4 linked regions of the Drosophila melanogaster genome follow. Changing the gene in region 1 together with any one later gene gives a genetic interaction. Each region holds a gene or a part of one and is shown in the gene's direction. Other genes may lie near its edges.

The links.
Region 2: of Timp (region 1) and sds22, changing one suppresses a phenotype caused by changing the other (phenotypic suppression), as found in Drosophila melanogaster (one study listed by BioGRID).
Region 3: of Timp (region 1) and Sox21a, changing one suppresses a phenotype caused by changing the other (phenotypic suppression), as found in Drosophila melanogaster (one study listed by BioGRID).
Region 4: of Timp (region 1) and gbb, changing one suppresses a phenotype caused by changing the other (phenotypic suppression), as found in Drosophila melanogaster (one study listed by BioGRID).

The regions. Positions count from the first base shown.
Region 1 is NT_033777.3:10,207,979-10,215,894, reverse strand, and holds the start of Timp (tissue inhibitor of metalloproteases), read left to right. Parts: upstream 1-2,887; 5' UTR 2,888-3,136; intron 3,137-7,916. Other genes in the region: Syn (synapsin), read right to left, coding at 267-363, 706-923. UniProt on the Drosophila melanogaster protein: Metalloproteinase inhibitor that acts on both matrix metalloproteinases Mmp1 and Mmp2 in vitro. Complexes with metalloproteinases and irreversibly inactivates them by binding to their catalytic zinc cofactor.
Region 2 is NT_033777.3:17,388,266-17,395,214, forward strand, and holds sds22 (sds22), read left to right. Parts: upstream 1-3,328; 5' UTR 3,329-3,442; intron 3,443-3,491; exon of another isoform or gene 3,492-3,515; 5' UTR 3,516-3,663; coding exon 3,664-4,644; 3' UTR 4,645-4,755; downstream 4,756-6,949. Other genes in the region: Brf RNA polymerase III subunit, read right to left, coding at 2,231-2,335, 2,395-2,763, 2,825-2,897; lute, read left to right, coding at 1-119, 178-715; CREG (cellular repressor of E1A-stimulated genes), read right to left, coding at 5,226-5,335, 5,408-5,489, 5,551-5,994.
Region 3 is NT_037436.4:14,101,561-14,111,668, reverse strand, and holds Sox21a (Sox21a), read left to right. Parts: upstream 1-3,550; 5' UTR 3,551-3,861; intron 3,862-4,510; 5' UTR 4,511-4,594; coding exon 4,595-5,127; intron 5,128-6,781; coding exon 6,782-7,415; coding exon of another isoform or gene 7,416-7,472; 3' UTR 7,473-8,188; downstream 8,189-10,108.
Region 4 is NT_033778.4:23,847,267-23,854,780, forward strand, and holds gbb (glass bottom boat), read left to right. Parts: upstream 1-4,295; 5' UTR 4,296-4,488; coding exon 4,489-5,856; 3' UTR 5,857-5,981; downstream 5,982-7,514. Other genes in the region: ytr (yantar), read right to left, coding at 1,191-1,533, 3,305-3,546; eIF6 (eukaryotic translation initiation factor 6), read right to left, coding at 2,069-2,806; bgcn (benign gonial cell neoplasm), read right to left, coding at 6,293-6,428, 6,484-7,165, 7,227-7,514. UniProt on the Drosophila melanogaster protein: Required for the growth of imaginal tissues and for patterning of the adult wing.

The DNA.
Region 1 (7,916 bases):
GAGCGAAAAAATGTTTGGGCTTTGTAAAGAAACTTAGTTAGGCACTAACCATATTTTAGAAGGCTTTATGTAATAATATTTATATACTTTTAATTCTCATTGCAATTCAAAAACGTATTAATATTGAAAATTATTTGATTTATTTGTATGTGTGAAATCTAGTCAAAATTCTCGAAAAGTTCAGAGTACAGGCAAGTCGGTTGATCGGCCAGCATATTTCGCCTCTTTGATTTAGTGTCTCTTATGGCTTTAATCCATTGGCTTACCTCATCCACCCAGCTTTTGTACTTCTCGGTTAAAGTGATTTGCTCCAGCATGGCGGATCCCTGATTGGTCTTCCAATTGCCGGTGATGGATTTGCGCCTGTTAAAGAGCGAAAGCGGTTAAGTATAATAAATTAAGCGGCTAAAAAAGCGTAGATAATGCGTTTGGGAGGTCGGCGAGGGATCTTTGAACCCGTCAACGGGCATTTCGGATGGCAAACAATGAACTCTTGCCGCTGCACTTGGTAGGATAATTGCCAATTGCAAAACGACGACGGCTTTTGTCTGCTGACAGTTGCAAGGTCAGACAATCAGACCATTCAGACCATTCAGACCATTCAGACCATACGGGCCATTCAGACTACATACTCAGACCACTCGACCCTTCCTGCATCAACTTTTGGCTTTCAGTTTCAGCCGCCTGCGGTTTGCGGTCACTTACATAAACGCCTTGTAGTTGTTGCCAATCTTCTGGATGTGCACGCTGAACTTGGCATCGATATAGGGCTCGATGGTGCAGTAACAATGGGAATCGTTACCAGCACCGCTCACCAATCCGGCGGCATCTTGCAGGGCGCTCTGGTTCTCCAGGCGAGCGGTGGCCACTCCGCCATGGCAATGTCCAGCCTTCAGCACGCTTGGGAACTTGGTGAATTGGAACTGCAAGTGCACGGAGAGAAAGAATTTATAATTTAGTTAGTTTAGTTTTTAACCATGTTTTTATGATGGTTTTCTATTGAGGCGAGCACGATATATTGTGATTATCCCAAATAAATATGTCATAATCTCAAAGTGAATATTAATAATTTTAGGACTAATCTGACTAATCCAAAAAATTGAATAGTTTCAGATTTTATAAATAGCCTTTAAACATTTTTAGAAAAGTTTTATAGACCTCGCTTTAATGACTGACATACTTTATGGTACATTAAGTTAAATAAAAAAAATGTATATATTTAAAACACTTTCTTCTTGTGTTGGGAATAAAGACACCGAGGCAATCACAATATGTTTTTCACTGTCTGATTGAAATTCTATAAATTACAATATACCGATGAGCTCTTTACTTCCATTTTTTCTCATTTTATTTTCTGCGGAAATCAAGGGGCGATGCTTATTAATCCATTGGATAAGTGCCAAATTCATTGGTTGTTTTTGCCCTCATTCCGATCACGAATCTGGCCATGGAAATTTTCTTTTGATTTGCCAGACGAATTCCAAGAATCCTCGATCATTAGTCAGGCAGGAACATTTCATGAAAATACCTTATAGTTATTAATGGCGCATGCAAATCACTATTAAATATGCAACAGCAACAATGCCCAGCCCTCAAATATTTGACTAATTCGCATTTTATTAATTTTACATCGTTGCTCATGGTTATTACATTTATATATGCAAATCGCCAACCGATTACCCTTGTTAATCATCTCTCCCAGACCCAAAGCCATATTTAAACAGTTGATAAATCACAAGTAAACACATGGGCTTAATTTTGTGTTGCATTGGCAGAGAATGAATAAATCAAAATAAAACCAAATGGAAAACCATAACAACCATGACGCAGCTCGAAGAATTGTCGCAATTGCCGCCGATGAAAGACCGTCCTGTTGACAGAAAGCCCCAAACAAACAGAGTGCGAGAAATCTCTCAATGAACATAAATATATATAGGTATCTGAGATGTATCTGGACCGAGAATAAGAGTGACTATCAGAATGAGACGTCACACCCCCACATAGCCAGCATTCTTGGAAGCTGCTACGTGTTCCGCCTGAGTACCCACCGTCTAGGGAACTGCATCTCGGTTATATCAGCGGACTTAAAATATGCACTGTGACGCATTCGTAGTGCCCTGAAGCGGGTTCATCGATTGACAGTGGTGTCTGGTGTATAAGTGCACAGGAAGAAAACGATTTAAATAAGTTTCAACATTGGCACAGACCACTATACTGATCACAATTGTAAAACCCTATTATATTAAATCTTATAATTTTGTAATATTATTATAATATTCTTAAGCCATCAGTAGTGCAACGTTAAGTATCCCCAACCGTTTCTCGCCGTGTAGATCTGTAGTGCGGTGGCGTTACCGGGTCGGGTATGCAGATTATGGCAACGTGCTGTAGGTGGAGCATGGAGTATGATATGAAGCATGACCGGAGCAACAGCACGTGTGTGCGCCACATGGTCAGAGGAAGAGGAAGTTGGATCTCTGGCGAGTTTACGACTGGGCATAGCTGAATTATTAGTTGATTTGCGGCCTGACAGATGCGCTATTCTCTGCCGTTTCGTGTGGCGATCTCTTTTTGGCCATGGCGCCAAGTAACTACAACTATGCATATTGTATGCTATTATATGGCCGAGAGCATAAACCAGGCCCCTGCACGCAATTAATAAAGCTGCCAAGGTAACAAAATAAACGCAAAGAAAAATGCAATCGACTCTCCTCCACTTTCCACTCATTTGGGGCGAATTTATGGCGCTTTTGATCGCCCGACTGCCGCAAGAAACACTCAAGTTATAAAGACACGAGTGGATTCGACTCAAACGATCGATCGATCCGATCTCTCACTTCCCGAACAACTTGAGTGAAGAAAACAGTCGAATCGGTTGACTTGACGATCCAGTGCAGAACCGCAAGCGCAGCGAGCTAGAACGCCACAAAATCGGCGACGGAAAAATCGCGACATCGTACGAGATATATAGTACCAAGTAGTATAAAGTGCTGACGAGTCGAATCGAGTGCGAGTGCGAGTGCGAGTGCCGGTGAAAATACATTCAATTGTTTTTCCCGATTTTTGTGCCCTCGGGTTCAAGTGTTTAAAAGCCTGAAGTGCTAGTTTTACACACAAAATAGGTTGCAGCTTAAAGGTAACAAACTAGGCTTATTTTGCTAATTTTTGGTAATTTAAGAATTGAGTACTTGAATGCTTAATTGTGTTAATTTATTTTAAAAATTTCCGCATTGCCAAGTGTTGTGTCAGAAGTTAAATAGCCGGAATAAAATGGTTTGCTTATTTTTCCGCAAACAGAATTTTCATATATGTTTGAAAGGCAAAAAAAAGTTTCAGCTCAAAGAGCAGATTCAAAATAGCTTTTGTGGAGTTTTTAGCTAGAAATATTTTAAAATTAATTTTCTCTTATCAATTGATTTTTAAACTTTTCTCTTCTTTGATGCATTTTCCCCTGAGGTGCAAATTTCCACCTCAAAAACAAGTTGCAACTCAAAAGCCAAAGTACACAGCCATGTTTGTTTTTATTTTATTTTAGTTTTAGTTTTAGAGTTGTTTGGCATTTAGAAGATTGAAATTGAAATTGAAGGTATGCAAAACGCGCGACACAGACGCGTTGTGTATTTTATTTTGGGGCTATTTAAAACGCGCAGTGGGAAATGTGCCGACGTGACACAGCGACACAGTTTTCCAACGAAACGCTCATTTCTATTTATTGGCGTTTATTTATAATTTGTTTTTATTTGCCTAGCTGTGCATCTGCCTTCCCTGATCTTTTGGAGCGCCCCGAGTTTTCTTCTGGCCTTTCGAATTGTCTTAATAGTTTTTATTGTCGCCAATTTGTAAACAAACTGCAGGCCATTAAGAAATATACAACTAGTTTGCTTGTGCAATCCAGTCTGATCGTAAAGCCCATTTGAATCTGTGATGTACAAGTAACAATTTTGTTGGATGTCAAGGAAAGCGAAACGGTTGTGTGCGCCAGAGGTATTTCCATATTACGCATACGTCATGTGTGTTTTGGCATTGGCCATTTAGTGTCTAAAAATAAAGAAAAACATTTAATGCTTCTCGACTCTCACAAAAAAAAAAAAAACACCAATAAAATGTACAAGCACATCACAAGGGAGGGGAGTAAAGACTTCTCCAGGGAAATGCATTTCAAGTGGGTTTTCCCCTTTCTTTTCCATTGAGTTTTCTTTTGACAACTCGCATTGTTTCGCATGGATATTCATAATTTCGTTTTCCTTCATTTGACTTTGGATTCACTGTTGGCTTTTCGTTTTGTTTGTGCGCCATTTAAATGAGCTTGTATTTCGTATTGGCTTTTCAGCTTTTCTGGGATATTATATACTACGTTGACTTTTATTTTCTTTTTTTTTGCCATCAGATAACACTTATTATCGAATGGAATTTAAATTTCTAAAGTCTGCTAATTTTTGAATTGAATGCATTGTTTGCTTTTCTTACGACACATATTGCCATATGGCACCTTAACATTATCTTAACCGCAATTGCTTATTGAGGGAGAGAAAATCCGGTTAGTAGGCTACACTGAAATAAAAAAAAAATGTGTCCTAAAGATACTAGAGTGTTTGTACTCATCATGGTCAGATAAATTACCTTGAATAATAAAACTAGAACCATTTAAAACGTATATTAAACATTTCACATGATAATAATCATTGTAAATTGATATGTTTCTTTATTATGAATATCAGGCCTATTTCAGCGACTCCGAGAACGACGATCAATATAATGTAATGTAAGATTACGCATTGTATCCAATTCGCAAACAATAAAAAACCACAAAAGCTGGGCAAATAAAATTGTCATAATCGATGATTGTGAATGTGGCTTTTCCCTCGCACATCATTCAATTTGCCATATTTGGCGAATGCTTTTAAATCCCCAAAAAAGTCCGAAAGCCATATACGGTTGGCGATACAGATACGAAAACATTGGATCTGGATTGTTTATGCCGACACACCCACATTCTGCTCATCCCATTGCCTTTAATAAATTTTCTTGTGCAAATCTTGCAATTAAATATTATTGTACAAATAAGACAGCGCGACAAAGAGACTTTGGTTTGGTATTTTGGTCTTTCGCCACCATTAATAATTTCTGCCTCCCCCATGAATGTGCGTAAATTTCACAGGTCTGGCAGCAATTTATCGACAATGAATTTGTTTTTTTGGGAACCCGGAGCTCCTCCATTTGTGTGTGGGCCATGGGCCGTCAATTTGTCAGCTTCCCTGCTGCGTTTCTGCTCCTTTTATCTCAATGTCCCTCAATGTCTTTAACAAGAGCTGTCAACCGGGTCTTAAATGGAGCCTTGTTGGGCTGAGATAAATCACCCAAGTTGACGAAAACCGATTCGGTATTGTCACAGAAAATCACTTGAATATTTAATTGAACTGCCAGCCGGGTTATTTGTGCAGAGTTTATTGATTTTTATGCAAATTCCAGCAATTTGATAACTAAATGCAAGACCACACAGTGCGCACCATTGTATTTCCGAGCCAGAACCCACATTATACATAATATTGTATTTTCCGGCATATGCATATGTTTACTTTGCGGTCTTATATATATGCACATGCTATATGGGTTTCGCTCATTAAAGATTTATATTTTTATGGTCCGGCCAATGCAATGTGAGTCCAGGCCCCAGACCTTCGGGTCTCCGATTTTGTAGGAACCCTTCCCCCCCCCCCCTTCACCTACCATCCTCTTCAGATACATTAGCATTTTTAATTGAATTTTCGTTACGCATCCTGGGTGAAATGTTTGTTGATTTTGCCACGCCGCCAGACAATTTGTGTTATAAGTTGAGAAATTTGTGGCGTTACTGTTTCGCTCTTTAATTTCGCGTCTCAAAATGAAATCCCCAAAAAAAAAACGTGACGAATTTGGGCTTGCATTTTCTGTTTGTTTTCTTGATCGACTGATGCAGTTGAGTGGCAAAATGAGAGAAGTCTTATTTTCGGCGCAATGATGTCAGATTTCGCCGGCATACTTGTGCATGGGTTAATGAGGCGCAAGGCAATAAAAATTCCGACATTCCGAGCATAGTTGTCTGCCAGACAAGGTTTCGTCACACCTGAATGGAGCTGTCAACCATCGAGCCACTGCATCCAATACGCTGGCGATTCAATTAGTCGGTCGAGACAACACTTTACCAGTTCTTATCACCTCGGATTGGGATTTCAATACCGATGTTAATTATGCATGTACGTGCCACTGGTTCAGGTGTTTGTTGAGTGCATGTAAATGCCAATAGCTGGTATCATTATCTTTAGCCAACTTGAAGCCACATTATTTGGCCATTCCGGGCAGGAAAACCATTCCGGGTCAGGGATCAAGCAGTGGCATTAATCAAATGGGCATACCATAACCCCCTTTTGTTTGGGCCGCATTGATCATGCTGATTATGGCATTGCCTATTGCCCGATCGTGACTTTGATATTTCCCCCTTAATTTTCCCCCATTGTTGTGAAGGCATCGCCGACAAAGGAAAAGCCAGTCAACCGAATGCCTCCGGCCAAAGAAAGTTTTTCAGCATCGTTATGGGAAGTTGGCGGAAATTCACTGGACTGCAAAAGTCGGTAATGAAAAAGTCGATGTGCATGGTTTTGCCCACTTGCGAGTTGTCATCTCAGTTGCAATGGCTAATATTTGCTTGCTCCAATTAAAATTTATCCCGGATTCTGATAAGTTGAATATCTTCTGCGACGATATGACATCATCGGGTTGGAATGAAAATCTAAGTAAGTAAAAATCAAATTGGCACAGCAATAAAAAAAAAAACAAATATGTAGGCGAATTGCCGCAAAGAGCAATATCCAAAAGTAAATGACCGCTGAAAAATCCAGTCGATAACGGTGACATTCGATTCGAAGTTTGGGTACTCACTAAACTTATATTTCATTACCTCATTAGAAGTGTCATATTTACTTAGAATTATGTATCCGTGTCATAGTAATGTGACAAATTGCAATAGAATAAGTTGATTAGCATGTCGAAATGATCTGATGACCTACTGCAACAATACTGAATCATTTGTAGATAAAACCAATTTTTAACACCATAAAAAATAAGTTATACTTTTTATTCCGCTACTTTATAGACCAAGAAACCATAAATCAATTCCCGCAAAATGATCGAAGCAGCCACAATTTGATATGCCTTTTTTGGAGGCGCAAAATTTTAAGCATCGTAAATGTGGGGACTATGCTGGGCAATGTAGTCGAAATATCCGAAAGCTATAAATACGTTTTTATGTCGATGCATTTAGTGTTTTGTTCGATGCTATGTGAAGTGCCTCTGGCTGTCAATTCTTTTGTGGGTCCACACACTTCACTTAGGCATTAGCCGGTATTAATGGCCCCAATTAAGTGCTCATAAACCAAACCTCTCAACGGGCAACTACATAGCACACTGGCCAACACAAATTTGCAAAGAAAGCACGGAACGCAAACCAAAATCGCATTAATTATGTGGCTTTGGGTTGTTCAGCCATTTCGGCGAGCAGTCTTCAACCAACTAAACAAACCACCCAAAAAAAGGAGAGCTAAACCGAAAGCGCTTTAGTTTGGTAGCAGGAAAACCTTTCTGTCCACTTTTCCCCCATTTTTTTTATCATCATCACCGAGCCTTGGCCTTTTCCATGTCTGACCTTAGCAAATCCCTTTGCATTCACCTGGGAAATCTGTCTGGATTCTGTTTTCTGTCTACCTTTCTATGGGAAAGTGTTAATCATAAAATTTGCATAATGCCAAATGGCTGAGCCTTTTGGGTAAAGATTAAATATTACGAAGACGGATTTGTAATTTAAACATTTAAGCAAATAAAATCCAATGAATGTTGTGAATTTTGTTATTTTATAAATAAATACTTTAATATTTTGAGTTTTT
Region 2 (6,949 bases), 7.2 Mb from region 1:
CGCTCCAGGGCGGGATTAAAGACCCAGGTCTGCCATCGCTTCCAGTCGTGCGCCTATCGCTCGAACCAGTGGCGCTACCGCGGGCGCTGTGATTCAATTCAGTTTTCTGTTGATCGAAGGTAAGTTCTATCTAACAAATGGTTATTGGATTAAGGTAATTAAAACTGAAAATTTCAGAATTTTCATTGTGGGTTTTGGACTGTACGGCTCGTCGACTGGTGCTGCCAACTACAACGTAAAGATCGAACTTAAACGCCTGGGCCGCACGCTTGCAGAGAACGACACCAAGTTCTTCTCGGACGGATCAAGCAACACGTTCCACGTCTTCTTCGAGAATCCCATCCAGATCGAGCCCGAGTGTTATTATACCGCCTCCGTAATTCTCGATGGAAACGAGCTTAGCTTCTTTGGCCAGGAGGGCATGTCCGAGGTGCTAATGGGCAATGTGACATTCCAGTTCCAGTGCTCGTCGGAGAGCACCAACGGCACCGGAGTTCAGGGCGGCCAAATCCCAGAGTTAATCTTCTACGGACCCACCACAGTGACAGCAATGAGCTCGCCCACCAATTCACTGTGTCCCACGCCAATTGGTGGCAGTTCCTCCAATGCAGGAGCGACTTCAACCGCAGCAGCCGGAACAGCTGTTCCGAATAGCAGCAATGGATCTGGCAATAACGCCAACAGTTCTGGGGAGGATGGCGACGGAAGCACCTGATGCGCACAGCTCTATTGCGCCGAGTGGCAGGGAGCCTGTTACTACCGCCAACAGCAGCAGCAACAGAGGAGACCAACACAACAATACAAAACACAGCAACCGCAAAAGATACAGATACAAAATCGAAACTCATGGGTTTTCAGTGCAGCACAAGAAAGTAAATTGGAGTTTTAGGCTCATATATATATATATATATATATATATATACCAAGATAGTAGAGTACTCTAGTTTTCATAATAGTCCTATATATAAACATATATATACACGTCAAAGCATAGACACATATATATACACCTCGGCAGTGCGTTTTAAAACTCCAAGACGATTGTCAGTACGTGATCATCTCAAAAAAAAAAGTCAGCCGATGCAAGTCAATCGATATAGGAAATTTGCTATAATTGGAAAGTTTCCTTCGATATCCCAAGTATGTTAAGCAAGTGAAATCAATGGTTTTGCAGTTCTAAAACGCACTGCACATAGTCTGTTGGTAATGCATATAAAGATATTTTCAAAATCGAAAAAGTTGATCATATACACTCTTAACTTTATAGATAAAGATTAGTAGTTGACTCGAAAACTTAATACGTTCCACGACTTAAGAGGGCGGGATGGGGTCATATGGACGCTAATAGAGACGCATAGATACATGCAATAAGTGAAAATCGGGCAATCAGTCAAGCTAGCGTTAACCAATATTCTAAAGACAGTTAAAGGGAGAGTGGACAAAAGCTAATACGATATATACCAAACATATTTTTGCCAGCATATACCTAACATATACACACATCTGATCTGATAATGATAAACTATAGTCCTAAACACTTCGAGGGAGAATAGGCCATGTTAATAGTTGCATACGACGAATTTGAAACCCAAGTTAACCAGTTAACGAAATAGCAAACAAAAATGAAATCAAGGGATCTTGTACGAGATGCGCACAAAATCCCCCCTACATATATATTCAAATATTAATCTTGTAGTACGCATTATATCTATTTCGTAGTTGTTCCATTATATCTCTCATACATACACAATATGCCTTTCTACTGATACTAAGCCCCGTACTTCTCCTGTGCATTATTATAGCCTGCTGAGCGCAACAATCAGTTTTACGTTTGTATTTCGGATTTCTTTGGAAATTGTACTGATTTTTTGCTTTTGATAAGACAATTATGGTTTTTATATACATATATCTATATAAAATGTTATCCTGTATTGATTATGAATCTATTACCATTATGTACTTTAATCAAACAAAATACATTATTAGATTTTTGCGAATTTACTTTCTCAGAGTTGAAGATTTTGGATATTTTGACATCACGTAAGTAGTGCATAAAGAAAACAGGAACGAGTAGAGTATTGTTAAATACCTGATAAAAGGAAAGCAAGCAAATCTAACAAACCCAACAAAATATTTTTAAAAAAACAAAAATTAAGAGTGGAGCTATGGCTTGACTTGACTGTGGATTGGGATTTAGGTGTATAGTTTAGTATTCACAACGTTCACTCACCCAGAGAAGGTATGTTGATACAAAGGGCATGCGATAACTTTAAGTAGGTACGACCAAGCTCATAGGAACAGATTTGCTGTACGTCGCTGATGTCGATGAGGAGATCTGTGAAGATATGAGCAGTCAATAAGCTACTCTTTAGGCAAAATGAATGCACTACTCACGGGAGGTGCCCTCTGTCCTGCAGGTCATGTACACGCAAGCGGCGTAGATGTGGGTGCTCTTCCTACCGCGGGTCAGATGCCTACCCAATGCCATCTTGAAGAAATTCAGAGCAGTATCTGCATAGTGCTGGGATAGCTGCAGCTGCTGGCAGAGTAGTGTGATGTCCTTCTTGGCCTTTTTGATGGTCACCTCGCGGGATTCGGTGCCCGATCCCACCTGAAACTTGCCGTAGCCATAGTTGGTGGCACCGCCCGACGACTCGGCGGACACAAACTGGCCAATTGCGGCTGCTCCATGGCCAACTTCCTCGAACTGCACTTCGGAAACAATGAGGGAATCCTCCAATACCGAGCCGCAGTTCATGCAAACTACAGTGAATGGGTGAACGTCGTTAGTGTCATGGATATGGGTCCTTGGATGTCATTATACCTCGATCTCCGCGAGCATTGTCTTCCTCGATCTCGTTGGATCCGCAATTGCGACATTTTAGGCCCGTAGACATGATTGTTTGTTCTTTGCTTTAATAAACACTGCCACCTGCAACGCTTCGTTTTTATCCGTTGTTTTGACAGTTTAAACTACTTGTTTGCTGTCATTTGAAAGCCATTTTCGAGTCTTTTTTAAACAATTTGCAATTTGTTGCCAATTGAATCAACACGCTTGGAAAACATCTGATTGAACCCCGCCGGCGTTGCTTAACACTGATGATAGAAGAAGAAATGCTAGAGATGCGCATTTCTCAATCAAGAACGACATTGGCACAACTGCTTGAAAAACTTAAAAGAGATATTAAAATTGTAAAAATTACGTAAAGCTGGTTCCAAAAATTATGTTCTAGTTTATTTGGCAAATTATCAATCAATATTTGTTTTTCATTTACATTGGAATATATAATAATACAGGTTTAGCATCGTGTTCTTAGGTGCACATCTCTAGTAGAAATAGTGTTAAAGTGCCGGTAAGGTGACTAAGTATTTTGTTGACATATTGAACAAGTTGGACCAAAAGGAGTATACAGTCATCTTGGACTTAACTTATAAATATTAAGTAAATATTTTAATACATATTTATTTTAAATTTACATATTTATATTTACCGTGTGTTCTTGCTTTTGTAACAGTGTCAAGCTTTGACGTCATATTTAAAGAAAGTCACCCCACTTTGTTCCACCCTGAGCAGCGGAATAAACAACAAGTCAAGTCAGCGTTCAATTTTCGAAAGTCAACTTGAATTAAAAAAAAAGAAAAGCCGGTCAAAATATATCAGTCATGGGCGATGCTGATCGTGCGATGAACGAACCAGAAGCCGCGAAAACTGTGTCCGGAATCCAGGTGATTCCCGCCGAGGATGTGGCTTCCATTGAGGATATAATCACAATCGATCCGGACTGCTACGAGCTTGATCTGAATCATCGCCGGATCGAGAAGCTGGAGAACTTCGAGCCGCTGACTCGAATCGAGCGCCTGTTTCTGCGCTGGAATCTGATCAAGAAAATCGAGAACTTGTCCAGCCTGAAAACACTGATTGAGCTGGAGCTGTATGACAACCAGATCACCAAGATTGAGAATTTGGACGACTTGCCCCACCTGGAGGTGCTGGACATTAGCTTCAATCGTCTGACGAAGATAGAGAACCTTGACAAGCTGGTCAAGCTGGAGAAGGTCTACTTTGTGTCGAACCGGATAACCCAAATCGAGAACCTGGACATGCTCACCAATCTGACCATGCTAGAGCTGGGGGATAACAAACTGAAGAAGATCGAAAACATCGAAATGCTCGTGAATCTACGACAGCTCTTCCTGGGCAAAAATAAGATAGCAAAGATCGAGAACTTGGACACATTGGTCAATTTGGAGATACTCAGTCTACAGGCCAATCGCATTGTAAAAATCGAGAACCTTGAAAAGCTTGCCAACCTCCGCGAACTCTACGTTTCGGAAAACGGAGTGGAAACCATTGAAAACCTCTCGGAGAACACCAAATTGGAGACCCTCGACTTGGCCAAGAACCGGTTGAAGGGCATTGCCAATCTGGAAAAGCTGGAACTGCTCGAGGAGCTGTGGCTGAACCACAACGGAGTCGATGACTGGAAGGACATTGAGCTGTTGAAGGTGAACAAGGCGCTGCAGACCATCTACCTGGAGTACAATCCGCTGGCCAAGGATGTTCGCTACCGCTCCAAACTGCGCGACATACTGCCGCAGCTGCAGAAGATTGATGCCACCCTGTGCAAGGTGCCCGGTACCTAGATGGAACCACTGTAAACCCCTTGAAAGACTAATCCACGGCGTTGCGCCACTACATTTATATCGATTAACTTTGAAAAACTGCGTTTAAAATATACATACAAATTAACCACTAATGGTTCTATCTACGAATTGGTGGGTGCAGTGATTTAGTTTGCTTTCAGAAGAAGGTATATTTGGATAAGTTACTCAAAGCGTGAAGTTTACCTAATGAGTCAGATAAATTATCCATCTAGGCTACCGCCTAACATATAAAACTAAAAAGTATTTTATATATACACATAAATAATGTAAATTGAATCTAAAAAGATGAAAACATTTTAGTTAAACAATTCTGGTTTCTCTTAAACCAAAACAATACATTTCAGTATGTCAGAGTACATTCAACGGAATGTATTTTTATTTATATCAAAGTTATTGTTCTATCGATTGAAATCACAGAGCTCAACTGATAAGTGGCTTTCATAAAGGCCTTTGTCTTCATTCTTTCCCTTTGTGGCAGACATGTTGTGCAAATATGCTTATCATTTCATTTTTTGACAAAGTATATGAGGCGTCAGTTGGATTGCTTTTGGAGGAGTTCATCAATTCGAAACAGCGTAATAGTCAGAGGCGCTCACTTTATGAGGACCTCCATAGAAGTCCAGAACAAAGATATTGCTAATTTCCAGTTCGCAAAGGTAGAAATTGTGAGCTGTAAAAGAAACAACGTATTTATTATTAGTACATACATATCGAGCTCTTAATGAGGTTCGCTTTCACCAACCTTTTACCCAATTGATGGCAGCTGGATGACGCCTCACATAGGCATCCAGCGATGGCTGATAGCTTTTGTCGCTAGGATCCATCTTCAAATGAGCCAAAACATTCTTAATCCATTTTAAATAGGATTTAATTCATTTTTCATACCTTCTTCACCTGTCCACTGATCATGGAACGGGCACATGTAGGCTCCATGGGATCCTTTCCGCCCTCCTTGCATCTTAGGGTCTGCTCGTCACTGAACAGGAGTGTGACCTTGTTGTCCTTCTGCCAGTCGGGACCAGTGAAGTCCAAATCGGTTAGCAGGAATCGAATACGTCCAGTGGACCTGTTATTAGCATCGCTGTCGTCGATGGAGATAATGTTGACCATGGGATACCCCTTCACCCGTTCGTTGGTGGAGAGACTTCCCACAGCCGCCCAATTGGCGCGATGGACCAAATCTCTGGCGATCTTGGCGTGATTTAACTCTTGCTCTCGCTTATATTCTCTAATTATACGCTCATCTTTCCGGCGGGAGTAACCGGAAGAGGGGTCCAGGCTCACGAGGGCCAAAATCAGGGCGAATAGTAGGGAGTGAAAGGTTTTCATGGCTAGACTGCAAGTATAACGATGCGGTTCTGAAAGATCACTGAACACTGGACAGCTGACGGGTCAGCATTTATGGACAGGGAATTCGCAATGACTGGCTTATCTTCCGGTCATCGTAATCGCGTATAATCCGCACTTTTAGTACTCTCTCTGATTCACGATGTAGGCCGTAAACAAAGCGGACTACGGATAGCGTTGACCTTTTACGCCTCTTTCATTTTCTCTGTGCGCCGCATTCTGCCAGTAATGCCCATATATATATGTATTTATGCCTACCTGGAGGATCTGGACTAATGGCCCCTGTCGGTACTTCTGCTTTGCGATTTGTTTGTCAACTGACTGGGCTACTATTGCGCCTTTATTATCACCTGCTTCGAGTACAAAGAACCACAACCAGCTGTTTTCAGCAGGTACCTCGGATGCGGTGGGGTGTATGTGACGCATATGTTCGTGCATTTTTCTCAGTTCTTCTCAGTCTCTCAAAAATCCATTAGTGTCTTTTATTACAAGATGATTTTAAATGCGCCCCATTAACTGGTTATTTTGAGCACTTAGTCAGTAATGTATGCAGAAAGCAGCGATAAATTGTAAATAAAAACGAATATCTAATTAATTAAAGTTTGGACTTTAGGAATAAGAATAATGTGTGTGGTAAATTTTAACTTTCAAAGAAAACAGCTGCCGTAAAATTAAATCACCATTGAGATTAAATAGTTTGATGTAAAGGAAAATAAAATTTAAGAATTATTTTAACAAATTCCTTTTGGGTAAATTGGCAAGCCGAGTAAAAACGTAACACCAAACTAGTTAGCCATTCGTAGTCCGAGGGTACCAACCGAGCGATCATCCAATAACGGTGGCATACAGCATTGCCAGCTTGAATAAAGTAGACTGCTATAAAACTAGGCTCGTATAAGCAGATCTTGAGCAGAGATTGGTGTAGTTTAACATTTTG
Region 3 (10,108 bases), on another chromosome or scaffold:
CTGACAGATTTCGAATGCGCCATCTAACCGCTGTCAACCCATTCTGCAAGTAGGTGTCGCCTTTATCACTGTGTAGAAATTTCAGGTCAATTTAATGTCAATTTTGAAGGTTACGCCTACCGTCACCAGATGGCGCGTGTTTATGTAAATGTATTAAAAATACAGTGTATATTTTGCATAGTGAACATTCGCCAAGAAATTATTGAAGATTTATTTGTATGGGACAAATCTCAAATTAAGAAAACCAATGATTTGGAAATTTCATTATTTACCAACAACTAAATAAAAACGGGAAAGTTTAAATAAAATAAAGCTTATAAAAACAACAACAAAACGATCCCTTTTAAATAGAATTCGAAAAATTTCTAAGATTTAAAACAATCCCCTTAAACTAAATTATAAAAAAATAACGGGCTTACGAATCGTAGATAATAATACTAATTCTAATGTCTTTGGTTCCACAAAGTAAATTAAGAATAATTTGGAGGAACAGTTCGCTTGTTTTCATACTTTCATTTCTTCATAACATTAAACTGCCTTCTCTGATAGGCGAATTTGGTGTGATAATATAAGCTTTAAAATTCAATTGTCTCAGTCTGATTATTTTTCAAAAAGTTTTCCAGCTTAAATATAGTTATCTATGGGGGAATTATTTCCATTTTCTAGAGCCACCCACTAGTCTTATCGGCCTCCTCATTCGACTGCCTCGCATTTGGCCTCATTTAAAACACAAATCACGATTAGTACGGGCACATTTCCTATTTTTTGGTCAGGTGAAACCAATGCGAAAGGATAGTAGGAACAAATGAGAAGGAGAGGCGTCGGTCTGCCAGAGTTGGCAAAAATTTTGTGCGACGCTGTTAAATCCCAGCCATAAATTATTGCAACTAAGCGCAGCAAACAATGCTGCTGTGGGTCATGTAAAAAAGCGACCAAAATTATGACTGCAGTGGGGACAACGAAAAGGATGTGTTAAATAAACAGTGTTGACAGTCTAGCCATTTTTGGCCATTACAAAACCAATATCCCATTTTGAGAATGTTATCAAATTTACCTAGTCTAGCGAAATTTTCAAATATTAATATTAATATACTCTTATAACATTCAAAGCATCTTAATACGAAGAGGCTCTAGGAGTGATTTAATTTATATGAGTACCCTATTACTCAAATTTCTTCGCTACCGTCAACTATGATTTCTAATTTCTGTGCTCCATTGTCCTGGGAGATGACCGCATAATAGGGCCAGCCATAATGTCCATTAAGAGGGAACAAATAACGGAATGTCGAGGTCTCCGTGCCGAATATCCTGCTCCTCTGCCAGCGGTAGATAAAGCAAATACTCAGGCATGTTCTAGCCAAGGACCACCAGTTGCTGGCGCCTTTGTTTTGGGTCCGTCTGTTCTGGCTTTTGGCCAATAAAATGCATTCAATTCGCATGCAAAACAAAAAGCGATAAAAAACGCGTCACCATTGAGAACGCTTCTAAGCAGCAGCCCCATTCCCCAAACTCCACTTCCCGTAGCATTGTCTACGCCATTGGTCCACAGTGTCTGAAATCGACATGCGCGCAGTTGCAGGGGTGCGAGGAGGGGTGGCAGTGGGCGTTGGGGGTGATTTAAGTGGGGGGTTGAGGTTTGGGGCAGCTCACACACACACACACACACATTTCTAGAGCGCTGCCATTTTTATTGTTGTGCGATGGTGAAGGGGGGAACCCGCCAAATGCGTTTCCTACTTAGCATTTGTTTTGGTGAAGAAGGATATGGGAGAGGGGCGAAAAGAGGGGTAAGTCGGGGAGTAGAGGGCAGAAACTCTACAAAAGTTACGACCATTTGAAGAGCGACGCTTGCGCAAAACAACCCCTTAGGAAGATATCTTTTTATGGCGCCAACAGTTGTTTTTTAAAAATGCCAAGGAATGCAGAGCAAAAATCCTTAATTGCTTTATTCCTTAACCTTTTCAAGGAACGCAATAAAATTAAAAAAAAAATTTAAAATAAAAAGCACTGCGACGATTCATTTATCTTTAAAATGTTGTTTTTGTTACTTTCTAGGTCAAATTAATTTGAAGATTTAGTATATACTGTGGAAATGTTGCTAATAGTCCCAATAATCGTTAAATATTATTGCAAAAGCATATTTAATTAAAATTAATTGTGATCGGGAAATTATTGTTCCGGATGTACTATACCTAGCATATTACACACTTTTCTATTGACATTACACTGTAAACACCGGGAAAATTGTCTAATTTCTTAGTATTCGTCAAGGGAGAAGCTCCGTTGGCGGAACATTGAAACCGTCAATTATAAAGAGCGGCATTTATAAGAAATTTTAGCAAATGTATAAAGGTGGTACTATTAAGGGATCAAGGGCTTCTAATCGTTGCAATTATACAGAAATCGTTATTGGTACAGCAACAACAAGAATTGAGAATTTCCTGTGTGTGACAAACAAGGAGAGCAATTGAAATAAGCGGCCCAACCCTGCCAACAAAAAGGGCCAATCTTGCGGATACCGAAGCTTGCAGCAAACATACCAAATAAGCCACCGATCGATTGTGAGAGCAAACACCGGTCTAATACACAGTAAGAAATTATAGTGCCATAACCATATAGTGTAGACCATGCATATAAGTAAGTATCCAATATTTGGTTAATTGTAGTATAAGATTCAAAAGCTAAAGTGTATTTTTCATTCGATTGATTGTTGCCACTCCGTTTTGTATTCCATTTAAATAAACTAATCAAGGCATTTTTTTGACATCTTAAAAATGGGTTCTCATTCCATAGTTAAGAAGAGCTATAAAGTAGTTTAACTATGCCTTTTATTTGGATCACAAATGCATAGAAGAAAAACAGAACTGAATAATAAAGTGTTTTATAAACGTACCAATTTATGATTTAATATTTTGTAAATAAATATAGCAGCGAAATTCTCAGAACTAGCCGGAATTTTCTTGAATTTTTCAAAGAAAACTATTTATATTTACAATAAAAATTGATATTGGTAGCTTAATATGAAATATGTTATTGGGCTATTCAAATTTTCAAAATTATTTTTGTGTTACGGTTTTGATAAAAAATGCAGATATCATCAACTGGCGAAGAGCAAAAGGAGCAATGTTTGGTAAACAAGAATGCAAACGTGCACACAAAACGAAAACAAACCCGGAGACTATTGTCAATAAGATACAAAACGCAGATACAAAGATACAAAGCAGCAGCAGCGAATTTTTATCACTTAGCCGCCACGTTGACGCGTCCTCCGAAGGTGTAAAAAACTCTACAAAATGTGCGCGCTCTCTCTCTCTCTCTCTCTCTCTTACTTGCGCGACCCTTCTCCCTTGCACTATCTCTCGCCTTGTCTCGCTCCCACTCGGTCCTTTTGGGCGGCAGCGACGCAGCAGCGACCAACCACTACAGAGACACCCTCATACTTACAAACACCCACGTTCTTCCTCTTGCCCCTTTTTGTTGCGTTTGTTTGCCGTTTTTGTCGCAAGTTTTCGAATGTGTTTTCAAATCTAAATTGTCGCGCACTCGAAACGGACGCGCTGCGCTCGGCTAACGGTGAATCGGCAGTCTAACGGTTTAAATACTTTCAACGTTCGTAAATTCGAGGCTCTATAAATCTCGAACTGTTTGGAAAATAAGTTAAAAATTCATATCAGTGCACTTGTGTATTTTTAGGAGTTCTAATGGCGATCAACAATAATTAACCTAGTAATATTAATAAACAAAAAGAACTCGATCGCAACGTAAACTCTTGTGCAATTAATTAGATAGTTAAGTGTCACGCATCGGATGGAATCCAAATTTAAACTTTATTAGGGAGAAATTAAAAGACAATTAATACAGGTAAGCTAATTATGATGATGAGAAAAGGTCCCTAGGTAAACAATTCGAATATTTAAATATGAAATGAAGAAAAAGCTGTGCTCTAAATTAAACTATTGCACACTCCTCCCCAAAAACTAAACACTTTAAAAAAGCGAAATAAGCGAACAAATATATTTTCTTAAAAAAGAAACCAAAAGATTTATAAGGATATGAAATATATAATGAATTTTATGAATATTTGCAATTTTCAATGTTAGAAAAGCCTGTTTTAAAAAATATATCATTTTCCAATCCAATCTTTAATTAATTCATCATTTGAAATCGAATTTGGCAGTACTGTTAATATGCAAATATACGTTCTTCAAGGAATATATTTTGGATAATATTAATTTAAGGGAAATCCCCAATTTTGCAAATACTCAATACTGAAAACTGATTTGAATTACTGGTAAATATTTAAATTGGTTTGTCATAAAACCGGGACACCATTTTGAGCCCCCTGTACACACACATTAGAAGGGGTAAATGGAGTTCCATTGTGCATATTTTTGGTAAGCTATTCGCAGTGCGAAGAGCTCCAATCAAATGACTCATGCAGGGAGCAGCAGACAGAGTCCCCAAGCTAACAAGGCATATCTATTGAATACCATTTCCGTTGGCATTTCAGAGCTCGAGGAGCAGCTGCAGCACTACCACCTGATAATTACCACCTGCACCCCCATTGGAGTCCCTTGACTCCGCGCCCGGCATCATGACGAGCATCTCGGCCCTGCTCCATCGGAGCCACAGCCACAGCAATGGTTACACGAGCAGCGGGAGTAGCAATCACAGCCATAGCAGCAGTCTCTCACCGCAGTTGCCCGGCATCAATTTGGGTTTGGGCATGGTCGGTGGCTTGGGCATGGGTATGAGTGTGGGAGTAGGCTCTGGATCGGGAAACACCACCCCACCACCGATGCCGCCAGCTGACCTCGCCGTTCCGCCAGCGGCCCCCACTCCGGTGGCACCCAAAATGCACCAGCACACGCACCACCATGGCAACTCCCACCATAATGCCCCGACCAGCCACTCGAATTCGAATACTGGAAGCCATCACAACAGCCACGACCACATTAAGCGACCAATGAACGCTTTCATGGTCTGGTCGCGGGGGCAGCGTCGCAAAATGGCCCAGGACAATCCAAAAATGCACAATTCTGAAATATCAAAACGCCTGGGCGCCGAGTGGAAATTACTCACCGAAGGACAGAAGCGTCCATTCATCGACGAGGCAAAACGATTGCGGTAAGTATTGTTCACTGGGGTCTGGTTAAAAAGCACTGAGAAAATATGTATGTACTAAATTTGTAAACAGAAATAAGAGTATTTTCTTACCTGGAAAAGTCCTTACCTTTCAATTCAAAAGTTAATTTTCCAAGTCTATTATTAATAGGGTTTATTAGGGCGAAGTTATATTTAAAAAAAATAAAAAGATATGGATCCCATTGATGTTAAAAATCACAGATTATCATATTGCAGTAATCCTATATTAATTTAAACTAGGAAAAACATAGTTCTTGTATTTTTTGTAGTTACCTCCGCTTTCTATTCTTGGATATAAGAATTACTTTGTTTATTCAATTTTATTCAGTCCACACGATATACATTTTTTTTCTGTGCCGGCTTATGCAGGAGCAGAGTGGTGTAGGTTGGATGGGAAATTCTGGCTTGGTTTCGGTTACCATTTTCCCAGTTGGTAGCTCATTCTCACTAGATGCCGTCTGGCCACAAAATTTGATCGATTAGCTAAGACAAAGGCTACCTATTGTGAGGAGCTCCTGCTGAATTGCGGAGCTCTGGAGTCGGGGATTGTGTCCGCTCTGCTTAGTCAGAATTTCATTGGCACTGCCATATCTTGGGTAAACATTTCAATTGAAGTTGTCACACAAAAGCGAGGCAACACGTCGCATGAAATGCTCCATTCATTTTGCATTTTGCTTCTTTTTGTGTGCTTAACCCATTCAGTGTACCCTTTCGAAAGGGTTTGAGTAATTTCAGTTTGAGCTTAGTTTTAATAAACGTAATTATCGGGATTAACTGAAAATACCGCTAGAATGGAGTTCTTTGTACAAGAAATATACTCAAAAGCGAGCATTTTACAAATAAGTACAAAAGTGATATCTCACATTATTTTATTTTTTATAAAACTAGCTTTTAAATAAGTTGTATTGGTATAAATGGAATCAAAATTTGCAGTGCACTTTTAAACCACAGGAATTCCCAGAAATGCCGTATCTCACAAGTTCGTTTTTTCTATGCCTTCCTAGATAGTGCGGTCTTTTATGATGACGAACCTCTGTGTTTGCACTGTCATAATCCTTTTATTGATTGGATTGGCCTGCCAAAATGGAAATGTTAAATTTTACTTACATTTTATGACATTTATAAATGATCAGGGCTCGTCAGAAGGGGCTTAAACTAATGGCCATTCGGGGTTTTCGAGCGAGCATATCGAATGAAAAGAACCAAAAATTCTGATCAAATATTTGCCAATGCGCGATGATAAGGAAAACAATATTTTTTTTCGGGACCCGCGATAAGGAGGCCATAACTGACCAAAGAAAGGAAAACAAAATAAAGAAAAGCGAAAGTAAAACAAGAGGAGGCGACCCAAACACACCTTTTATCAGGTTTTATCGTTATGTCAAACAAATGTCAACAATTGCGCATTGTTGCAGCTGGGAAATCGGAAAGAGAATCGAAGTTGGAATCGGAGTGCTGGTTCTTCGCTAAATACACAATATAAACTTGTGCATTTTGTATCTGCCTGGCGTGGGGTTTATGGAAGGGTTCCGCTTCTCTTGGGGTTTACGACCAGAGATGGCTGACTTTATGATATCATCAAAGCTTAAATCGTTCGATCTTTTGATCAGTGTTTCAACATTTATTTAATTTACAGGGCTCTGCACATGAAAGAACATCCCGACTACAAGTATCGACCACGTCGCAAGCCCAAGACGCTCAACAAGTCACCGGTGCCAGGTGGTGGTGGTGGCGGCGGTGGAGGTGGTGCCAACGGTGGTGTCAACGCTGGTGGTGCGGGTAACTCCGGTCCCAGTGGCCCAGGATCAGTTGGCTCCCCCAAGGATATGCAGCCCCAGTTGTCGCCCTTGGGTCAGTCGCTGCCACATCTCCACGGACATCCGCACCAGTCACCATATCAATCGCATCCACACCACCCGCATCCTCATCCACATCATGTCCAGCTGGCCGCCGCCACCTTGAGCGCCAAGTACGGTTTTGGTTCGCCACTGGAGTTATCGCTGCCCCGCCTGCCGAATGCCTTTCCCGGCCTCGCCCACTATCCACTGGATCCCACGTTGGCCCTGGACCTACAGGCGCGCCTCCAGGCGATGTACGCCGGCTCCATCTACCACCCGTGGCGATATCTGCCGCTGATAAGTCCGGAAACTCCACCCTCCCCGCCCAGCAGCAGCGGTACCGGCATCTCATCCTACGGATGCGTCAAGTCAGAGAAGTCCTCACCAAATGCGGTAGTGGCCAGCGCGGCCAGTCCGCCAAACATCATTTGACCGACTCCATTGCGCTTCGGCGCCGGCACCTCCTCATCCGCGGAACACGTGGTCTAGGATGAGCACCACAGAGGGAATTTGGATGGTAAACTTTACCATTCCTCTCCAAAAGTTAAAAGTCCTAATGTTAGAGCCTAGTGTTAGACGAATATTAATGCACGTCTTTAGTTGCTACTATAATTATGTTTTTGGTTCTGATTTAGTGCTGCTTCACTATTTTAGATGATTAATTTTAAAACTACATTCAAAATCTCAATTTACTGACATTTTTTGACAAATAATGAAGTTAAGTCCGGCCTCGAAAAGCAATAGACATTTTAAATCAAAGAAATTTTAAAAAATCTTAGCTAAGAAATAACACTTAGTAGTCTCTTATAATTTATATATATATATTTTATATATATTTTTTGACATTTTATTAAAATTCACAACATCATTTGAATTCGTACATATTACTTAAACTGCACTTAATATTTTTATTGATATGTTGTTATATGAATAACTCAATTCTTTCGATAAATCTTTGAATTAATCAGCTTTGAATCAGCTTAAAACACATTTTAAATGGTTTTATTCATACCTAATTTAAGGATTTCACAATCTTTGTTATCAATTTCTGGAACCCAAACAAATGGCTTATTAGATCTAAAGTACATTAGATTTGTTAAGGCATCGAGAACATGTCCACTTTTATGTAATATATGATTGTAAAACTATACTTTAATGTGATAAATGAAAGAGCAGAAATCGAATTAAAAATAGTGTGAAATTCCACGATTTTTAAACAGTGTACTTGAATAAAGCATGGCATTGGGATTTATGGCAAAATTGTAACAATAGTTTTAGGATTGAAGAACCCTATAGAGACCTGGTTTGCATGTGAGTGAAAATCATAGCTTGCAATCTGTAAGGAGTCACCGCCAAACGCCACAGGCTTCTGTGAATATAACGACAATGTTTGCTGATGCGTTGATTATTAGTTTAAATTGCCGACACGCCGCGGGGATGAATGGATGACGATGGCCAGGATTGTCTGCCGTTTCGGAAGGGTGGCGATCGTCCTTAATGGGATTCCTTCACGCCCACTTGTTTAAGCGGCCAACTGTGAAGCGCTCACCGTCGAGGCGTGTCAATAACTCTCGGCCCAAAAACAATTGGCACTTTTTTGTCTGAGGCACTGCACAAAACAAAGCAGCAACCACCACTATTATTGGACTTTTCTCTGGGTGGGTTGGGTGGAATATAGACAGCTTGGCGGTACAGGGCAATCGCGACAGCATCGTAACCAGCTGAAAAGCCGCCCATAAAAGTCGCACAAATGCCACGCTGCAACGCAACGAAAGTGCTGATAAGGAGTGCCAAATACCAAGGATGCCGCACCCAACTCAGCCTCCTTGCCCCACACACCAATCTACTGCTCCCCAAAGTTTCACTCAAACAAAAACCTGACCCAATTCAATATTTGGGATAAGATATGAGAAATTCCGCTAACTAGATCCTTGCCAAAAAATGTATTCAAAATGCAGCTTAAATTCTGATGCAGTTTAAAAAAAAACATTTTAAGATGATAAGTTAGGCATGTTTAAAAAGTTTTTATGCTTTCTTGAAAGTTTATGCAATTTTTTTTGAGTGTTGACTGTCTGCCCATTTTCACAATCACACAGACATTGTGGTGTGCCTTTTGTTGCCCGCAAGGTCGTTTTTATAGTGTCCTGGCCCTATTCACAGTGACAGTCGGAGACTCGAACTTGAATAAGCATTTAATGTTTGCATTTTGACCTCACCTAAACACAGACAAAGGACCTGGCATCCGCTTCCATTCTCAACGAAAATCACTTGTGCAAAAGTCTATGAAATGCTACAACAATATTTGCCCAATGAAATTGGGTGGGCAAGAAGAGCCACCCCCAAGAGAGCAATCTATGAGTTGATTCGACTGTGGGAACTTACAAATTGCCAAGATATTTTAGGGCTTACGAAGTAGTAATTGAATCCAAATTGAGGTTGTCCCTAAAAGCATACTGCATATTGCCAAAAAATTCGACATAATTATTAACAAACAATCAATTATCGAGGCTGCATTGCAATTGCCCATTGCAATTGGACTGGGACAGACCGTTCATTTTCTAACTGATATATAGACATTTAATTTAAAAATATTTTATTTTATTCAAAACTGCAACCCCTTGATGAAAGTATCTCAAAGCTATTTACCGAGAACTCGGCACTCGAATATAGCAATTATCACAAAAATTTAACGGGTCACTTGCTTGGGTGGCATCCACAAGCGAAGTCAACTGACTATCAAAACTAACAGACACGCGCTGCACGTGCGACCCCTCACCTTCGACCCCGATCATCAGCATCAGCATCAGCATCAGTTCGCTATACTCACTTGTTTCAAGACAAATAAAAACATTGAAAGCGAGTCAGTGGGGGAGAAAAATAGCAGAGCGAAAATCGTGTGAAATAAAAGTTTGTTTGATTTGCTTTGTGCGGAGGAAGTGGGTGGGCAGCGAGTTCGGGAAGTCCTAGAGTCGTGGTGACAAAAGTACACCGAAAAGAAATGTATGTCACATTCTCGGGATTTTCATATCCACGTATATACATATCAACTGAATGTTCTTGAGTTATTTTCTTTATATACAGTTTTCGATCTAATTTAAAGCCATAAAACTAGTTTACATGCAACT
Region 4 (7,514 bases), on another chromosome or scaffold:
GTGTGAGTGGTGCTGGTCCAAAATGGTTCAAATTTTCCAATACATGTGGCTGTTTTCCAAACGCAAAGAAATGGGTAACTGAAACTGTTGCTTAAAATAGTTAGCTCGTTGAGGCGTACAAAAATTCATGCCTACTATCTTATAAAAAGAGTACAAAAGAATGATTATACAAATACATATCTGTAATCTGTATCAAATGTGATTCATCTTCAGCGTTGCTTGCCTGATCTGTTGGCACTTGTGATTGAAATCGGAATTAACTGGATTAATTACAACATTTTGATTGTTCAACAAATAATAGTTCTTTCAACAAATTGCTATGGCTATTGTTGGATTCATTTCGGGGGTTGCGGGGATAAGGTACTTGTGGTGTGTGTGTATATATAATTTCTATATTTAAATATATATTTGATATATATTGTTTGGTTGTAAAACTTGTACTATTGCAGCGTATGGAGGAAGTTTGTTGGGAGGTCTTTTCGATTGCGGTTGGGATCGGGATGGGGATCTGGATGCGGATGAGGATGGGTATGGGTATGGGTAAGGATAAGGGTATGGGTATGTGAAGAGTGCGTTTCGGGCTGTGGTAAGTTTTCAAATACTTTAAGTAATTGTCTGTGTGTGAGTTTGGAAATTTTTCTGTTGTGAATTTGGGTTTCTCAGGCTGGCTTCAGTTAATTCGTTCGTATGCGTACAAAATGGCGAGATGTCAACAAAAACAATTGTTAATTACTTTGAAATATTCAAAAAGCAATCGTCGTGCGTCGTCGACTGCAGCTGAAAGCAGATTCGCCATCCGAGAACGTCTGGCTGGGATGGCTGGCTTTCAGCCCCAGACTTTTGTTGTAAAATTAACCTGGCGGCCAACTCTATAACAAAGGCGCACTTCAGGCTTAGACTACTAAATAACTAATTGAGGTATGTGTGTGGCGAGGCTGTCCTCGTGCTGAACTAGCTGGATGCGTGGAAATTTTGACGGGCCAAAAGCTGGCTGAATTTCGTAAACCGGTCTATTGCATAAAATTGCAGGTCTTCGTCCGCCGCCCATTGCCCATTGGGCACGGACAAGTAAAAAAGCGTAGCAAACTAGTTGGGCAACGGAAAAGGATGTGGCTGCTGCGATGGCGATGGCGATGGCCAATGGCAATTGGAATTGCAAGGACAACGCCAACGGCTGCTGCTAGGCACTGCTATGCCACGAAATCGAGCGGCCGGTTGAAGCCACCCTTGCGATTCATGTACTGGCGGTACTTTCGCTTGAGGATTACATGCACTTCTCCGACATCGTTGCCCTCGACCTTCCTGTTCTTGGTGGTGTCGAACGTGCAGAATCCCATTGTCTTCAGCATCTCGACCTCTTCCGGCGATTTACCCTCCAGGTCCGCCTCGTTGATCTTGGGCCGGTCGGCAGCTGTGGCCGCCGCATTGTTCCTCGTCGTCCTTCGCGACGTCGATGGTCCGGAGCTGCTGTTGCCGCCGCTGCTTCCGCCGCCGCCTCCTCCTCCTCCTCCTCCGGCGACCCTCGACCGCGATCTGCAAATTATGAATGTGTGTGCATAGTGAGTGGTGAGTGTTCTATAGATTTCGTTTGAGTGACAGGACCGACCAGTTGATTGCATTCGAATTGCAACGAGCCTGGGAAATAACTGGGGCGACCTTGGGCGTTGTGCACCCGATTGTGCAATATGAAGTTTTAATTACGCGAAATGCGACACTTCTCAACCGGTCGGTTGGCTTCATTAAAGACCATATTTACGTCTCGATTTTGGCAATCATCTGAAGACCCAAAATAACCGGCTTGTATATGCATATGCTAGAGAATTTCATTCTAAGATTTAAAATCAAGCTCAAGATCCCTCTAAAATCCATTCTGAATCCATTTATATACCTAACAGACAATATTCCTCTATTCCTCTAGCTTATATCTCAAAAACTTCCATTGGAAAATAGCTAATTGATGCTTGCAGCTCCCAGACTTTGTTTTAGTTTCGTGTTTTGTATTTCTTAAATGAAATGTAGAAGATAACAGATAATCCTTATATCAAGTAGAAAGTGGGGAAAGTTTCGCTTAGGACATGTCCTCGATGAGGGCCGCACGCAGCTTGGTCGTCACTGTGGCGGGCTGTGCCTGGTTAAGCTTGAAGACGCTCTCGATCACGGAGATCTCTGTGGCCGTGGTGTTCATGCCCACGAAGGAGAGCCAGTCGTTGACGACCATGCCGGCGGCGAGTACTTCGCTGCCCCGGTTCACTGTTCCGGCCACGAGGGGAACCTGCAGCAGGGACGACAGTTCGTCCTGGTCCTGAATGCTCGTCTTGGGATGCACCATGCCGCCCTGGTTGCTCAGCACGGCGTAAGAGCCCACCAGTGAGTTGTCGGCAATGGTCTGGCGGAAGACCTCTACTTTGAGCACGTCCGCGATGATCTCCTCGGTCTCCTTGTCCAGATCCGGGTGCACCAGGGCCACATAATCATTGCAGGCGATAACGTTGCCCAGCGCGGACAGGCGCTCCTCCACACGATAAATCTTCACGGCGTCTGGCAGGCTGTTACGCAGGTGTTGCAGCTCCTCGTCGGTGGTGGAGTTGGGCACCAGCAGGCCGTTGCGGTTGCCCACGGTGAGGCGGCCGATGATCCGGCAGCCGCCCACATTCGCATGCACCACCGGGATGGTGTCGCCCAGCTCCGCCTCGAAGGCGCTGTAGAAGGTCTCGGATCCACCGATGGCCACCAGGCAGTATGTGTTGGTTAGTTTAGTGAAGACGCCGATGTCGTCGTTGTTCTCGAATTGGACGCGTAGAGCCATTTTCTCTGTATTTACGTGGATCCTCTTTTCCTGCTGGTTACTCTCTTTTCGGATTTACTGGCCTGACTGAGCCTGCTGCCGGATGAGTTCTGGATTCTGTTTATATGTCCGGAAATCAATTTAAATGTCGTGATGAAATTCGCACAATTTCGCTTCACGTGGTAATTTTTTTTTGATGTTGGGACGCCAGAGCTGCATAGCCATCGATTGGCTGCCTATCGAAGTGTGGGTCTATCGATACTCGTGGGTAAATAAACAAGTTCTGAACGGCGATTTCGGGGGTTTGAGGGGTCAATTGTCCCCTGTGTTGGAATGTGTTCCTAAATCTACACAAACACTCCCTAAGCTTATCCTAAACTTATAAATATTGGTTGCTATTTAAACCCCATTTCACGGTTATCCAGCACGCCCCTGAACTGTGACCCACATCCCCGATTTTAGTGACTAGTTTTATACTTATCGTGGTTGGCATTTGGTACACTACACTTTCTTATTCACCTAGATCGCCGACTCCGCGCACGGTCGCGCTCCCGTTCCCGCTCCCGATCTCGGCTGCGACTGCGGTCGCGATCCCGTTCCCGGTCGCGGCGACCGGCGCCTCCAGATCCGGATCCTCCGGCTGGCGCTACTCCGATGGCCTCCCGCTCCCGGGAACGGCGCTCCCTGCGCTTCTTCCGCTCGGATCGCTCCTTCTCGCGTCTCCTGTGCGCCGGCGAGGCGGGACTTCGGCTGCGGCCCATGGCTCCGTTTCGGTCTCTGCTTGTGTGGCGGTTTGAGTGATTGATGATGGTTTGCCTGCAGTGGATTTGAGCGGATGTTAGACTCCATGTACTCCAATTGCACCGCACGCATCCCGCTTACCGTTGCACTAGGCTGTGTCTAGCATTATTTGGGCGACACCGGCGGTGGGTAAAAACGCGCTAACTTAAAACTAAAACCAAATAAACAACGCGCGTTATCTCGCCGCGACGCCGAAACGGAATGAGGAATGCAGAATGCGGATGATGATGCGAGGGATGCGATGCAAGGGCAAAACATGGCCACCTATCGGATATCGATTGATGGTCGATTTTATCTTCGATAAAAATGTATCCTATGTATATCGCATACCGAATGTTTAAATCGATCTGTTTCCTTTTGAATATGAACTATGTATATATATTAATTAATATTTTTTAATAGCATTACCTATATTATATTTCAAATTATGCCCGGACTATGATAAATTTAACAAATTCATAATTACAAATCTTTCGTCAATACCACTTCCATAAATAGTTTAAAATATCAAAATATTACGAACTTTGCCAATATAAACGTTATATTTTCTACATTTACACAGTTTCTTCTTTTTTTTTTTGAAGCTATTAAACCACATATTTGCTCACGATCGCAGCTGAAATGAACTACTATGTTGGATCTTCTAGTTCGATCTTCAAGACCGATTCATTTTCCAAGTCGCGGGACTGCCAACTCCCGCGAAATAGAAAGAAAATGCATCTTGAAGATTAAGATACACACAACAATCCGTAAGTGCGTCAGAATTTTCAGAACCCGCGGTTCGCTGGAACTCTCGAAATAAACAACTAAATGCCACTGTACATCTGAAGCTATCGCAAGTGGATAGCGCCGTAGATATAGAAAAACAGCGATCGCAACCGATCCGTCCAAAACACGAAATAATGTCGGGACTGCGAAACACCTCGGAGGCCGTTGCAGTGCTCGCCTCCCTGGGACTCGGAATGGTTCTGCTCATGTTCGTGGCGACCACGCCGCCGGCCGTTGAGGCCACCCAGTCGGGGATTTACATAGACAACGGCAAGGACCAGACGATCATGCACAGAGTGCTGAGCGAGGACGACAAGCTGGACGTCTCGTACGAGATCCTCGAGTTCCTGGGCATCGCCGAACGGCCGACGCACCTGAGCAGCCACCAGTTGTCGCTGAGGAAGTCGGCTCCCAAGTTCCTGCTGGACGTCTACCACCGCATCACGGCGGAGGAGGGTCTCAGCGATCAGGATGAGGACGACGACTACGAACGCGGCCATCGGTCCAGGAGGAGCGCCGACCTCGAGGAGGATGAGGGCGAGCAGCAGAAGAACTTCATCACCGACCTGGACAAGCGGGCCATCGACGAGAGCGACATCATCATGACCTTCCTGAACAAGCGCCACCACAATGTGGACGAACTGCGTCACGAGCACGGCCGTCGCCTGTGGTTCGACGTCTCCAACGTGCCCAACGACAACTACCTGGTGATGGCCGAGCTGCGCATCTATCAGAACGCCAACGAGGGCAAGTGGCTGACCGCCAACAGGGAGTTCACCATCACGGTATACGCCATTGGCACCGGCACGCTGGGCCAGCACACCATGGAGCCGCTGTCCTCGGTGAACACCACCGGGGACTACGTGGGCTGGTTGGAGCTCAACGTGACCGAGGGCCTGCACGAGTGGCTGGTCAAGTCGAAGGACAATCATGGCATCTACATTGGAGCACACGCTGTCAACCGACCCGACCGCGAGGTGAAGCTGGACGACATTGGACTGATCCACCGCAAGGTGGACGACGAGTTCCAGCCCTTCATGATCGGCTTCTTCCGCGGACCGGAGCTGATCAAGGCGACGGCCCACAGCAGCCACCACAGGAGCAAGCGAAGCGCCAGCCATCCACGCAAGCGCAAGAAGTCGGTGTCGCCCAACAACGTGCCGCTGCTGGAACCGATGGAGAGCACGCGCAGCTGCCAGATGCAGACCCTGTACATAGACTTCAAGGATCTGGGCTGGCATGACTGGATCATCGCACCAGAGGGCTATGGCGCCTTCTACTGCAGCGGCGAGTGCAATTTCCCGCTCAATGCGCACATGAACGCCACGAACCATGCGATCGTCCAGACCCTGGTCCACCTGCTGGAGCCGAAGAAGGTGCCCAAGCCCTGCTGCGCTCCGACCAGGCTGGGAGCACTACCCGTTCTGTACCACCTGAACGACGAGAATGTGAACCTGAAAAAGTATAGAAACATGATTGTGAAATCCTGCGGGTGCCATTGAATTCAATTTACCACTTAGGCTAAGCACTATAGCACTATATATATAAAGCATTTCTGTGTAGATGTCCATCTCTGTACTAATCTCGAATATTTTTATACAAAAATATACAGCGCTGTACCTAACTGAAGTTCGTCTCTTGAGGAGTTTCATTTGTGGCTAGTATTAAAAGATACTTCTTCTTTATTGTCTCACATCTACTCATGATTGGGATGCACAAATTTCAAATATTTCAAAACAACGATGATAGACGCAATGTGGTACTAAAAGTACGTATTTTGATTCTGGTTAGCTCTCATTTAAAATTAACAGTCATTTCACAGCAATAAAAGGCACAATCAAGTCCTATTTGGACTTCGGCACGCTTCTTTGGATCATTCTTAATTATTTTAGGACTCAATTAGTAGGGAAGCAGGCAATATGCGCGAGGAAGCGGGCTTTATCGCTTGTGAATCCAGTGGTGGCGGAAGGCAAACAATTCCATAATCAAGTTGCCGACACGCTTGTCAATTAGCGCCGACATCAGGCGGCCATCAAACACCGGTGTCTGCACATTCAACGACACACACGCATCTCTGAAAGGAGAGCACATTAGACTGGAGTATTCTCCGCAACTTGGATTGCACTTACAAGATTTCAAACACCGGAATGTTGTTTCGGAAGTATTCCTGCAACATAAATACACCATTGACGAATTTGGCTCGACTAATGCTGAGCATCATATCGGGATCCTTTCTATACAGGATCACAAAGATGTGCCGGTTGGGCGTGTCGATGGGTCTGACAAACTTGCCGAGGACACTTTCAATAAAGGCTGGCGTGTTCCTGCTGTGGAACTCCTCGCAGTCGCCGCCTGCGTAGAGCACGAAGAACTGCCTCTCGATGAAGTGCGAATTGAAATGGTGTGGTTTCGACAGCATGTTCTCCTCCACTTCCCGGGCCCAACTGAAGTGGGCGTTAACGGACAGGAGGTACAAGGATGGCAGCTGGGGCGTCGGTAGAAAGGTTATGGGCGGAGGCTTGAAGAAGCCCACGAATCCATCCTCACTCTCGAAGATCTTCGATAGCGTATCAGTCAGCACGGTGTATTGGGAAACTGGCTCGCAGTCTCGGCGCCACATGTCCAGCTCGCTGCAGTGCTTCAGCAAGTCGTGGTACATTTTAAAGAAGTAATACCGCGTGCGCATCACCATCTCCGCCGTAGCCTTGGACATAACCATCCAGATCCATTCGTCTATAAAGACGTTCACGTTGCGATCGGTCAAACTCATTTCACTGTCGCAGATCGGGGAGAGGCGAATCCGTGGATGTCCTAATTAATACAAAATGAATGATAACCAGAATGATATAACATGAAATTCATTCGAGCTTACCCGAGAACATGGCAACAGCCAGAGGAACGACCAGGGTGGCGTAAACAATGTGGCTCTTCTGCCTGTTGCACACAATCCACGGTGTGCGGAAGCTCTGTGCCGAAATATTCAGTGGCTCCAAGAAATCGCGGAGCACGGTGTTCGGATGCATGGAAACGTTCCCGGAGAAGGCCGACTTTAGCGAACTCTTTCTAGTGTCCACGGCATAGATGTTGGGATACATTCCGCCCGTGAGGGCCGCCTTAACCATGTGCCAATTGCAGGACATCTGGTTGAGATTGTTCATCG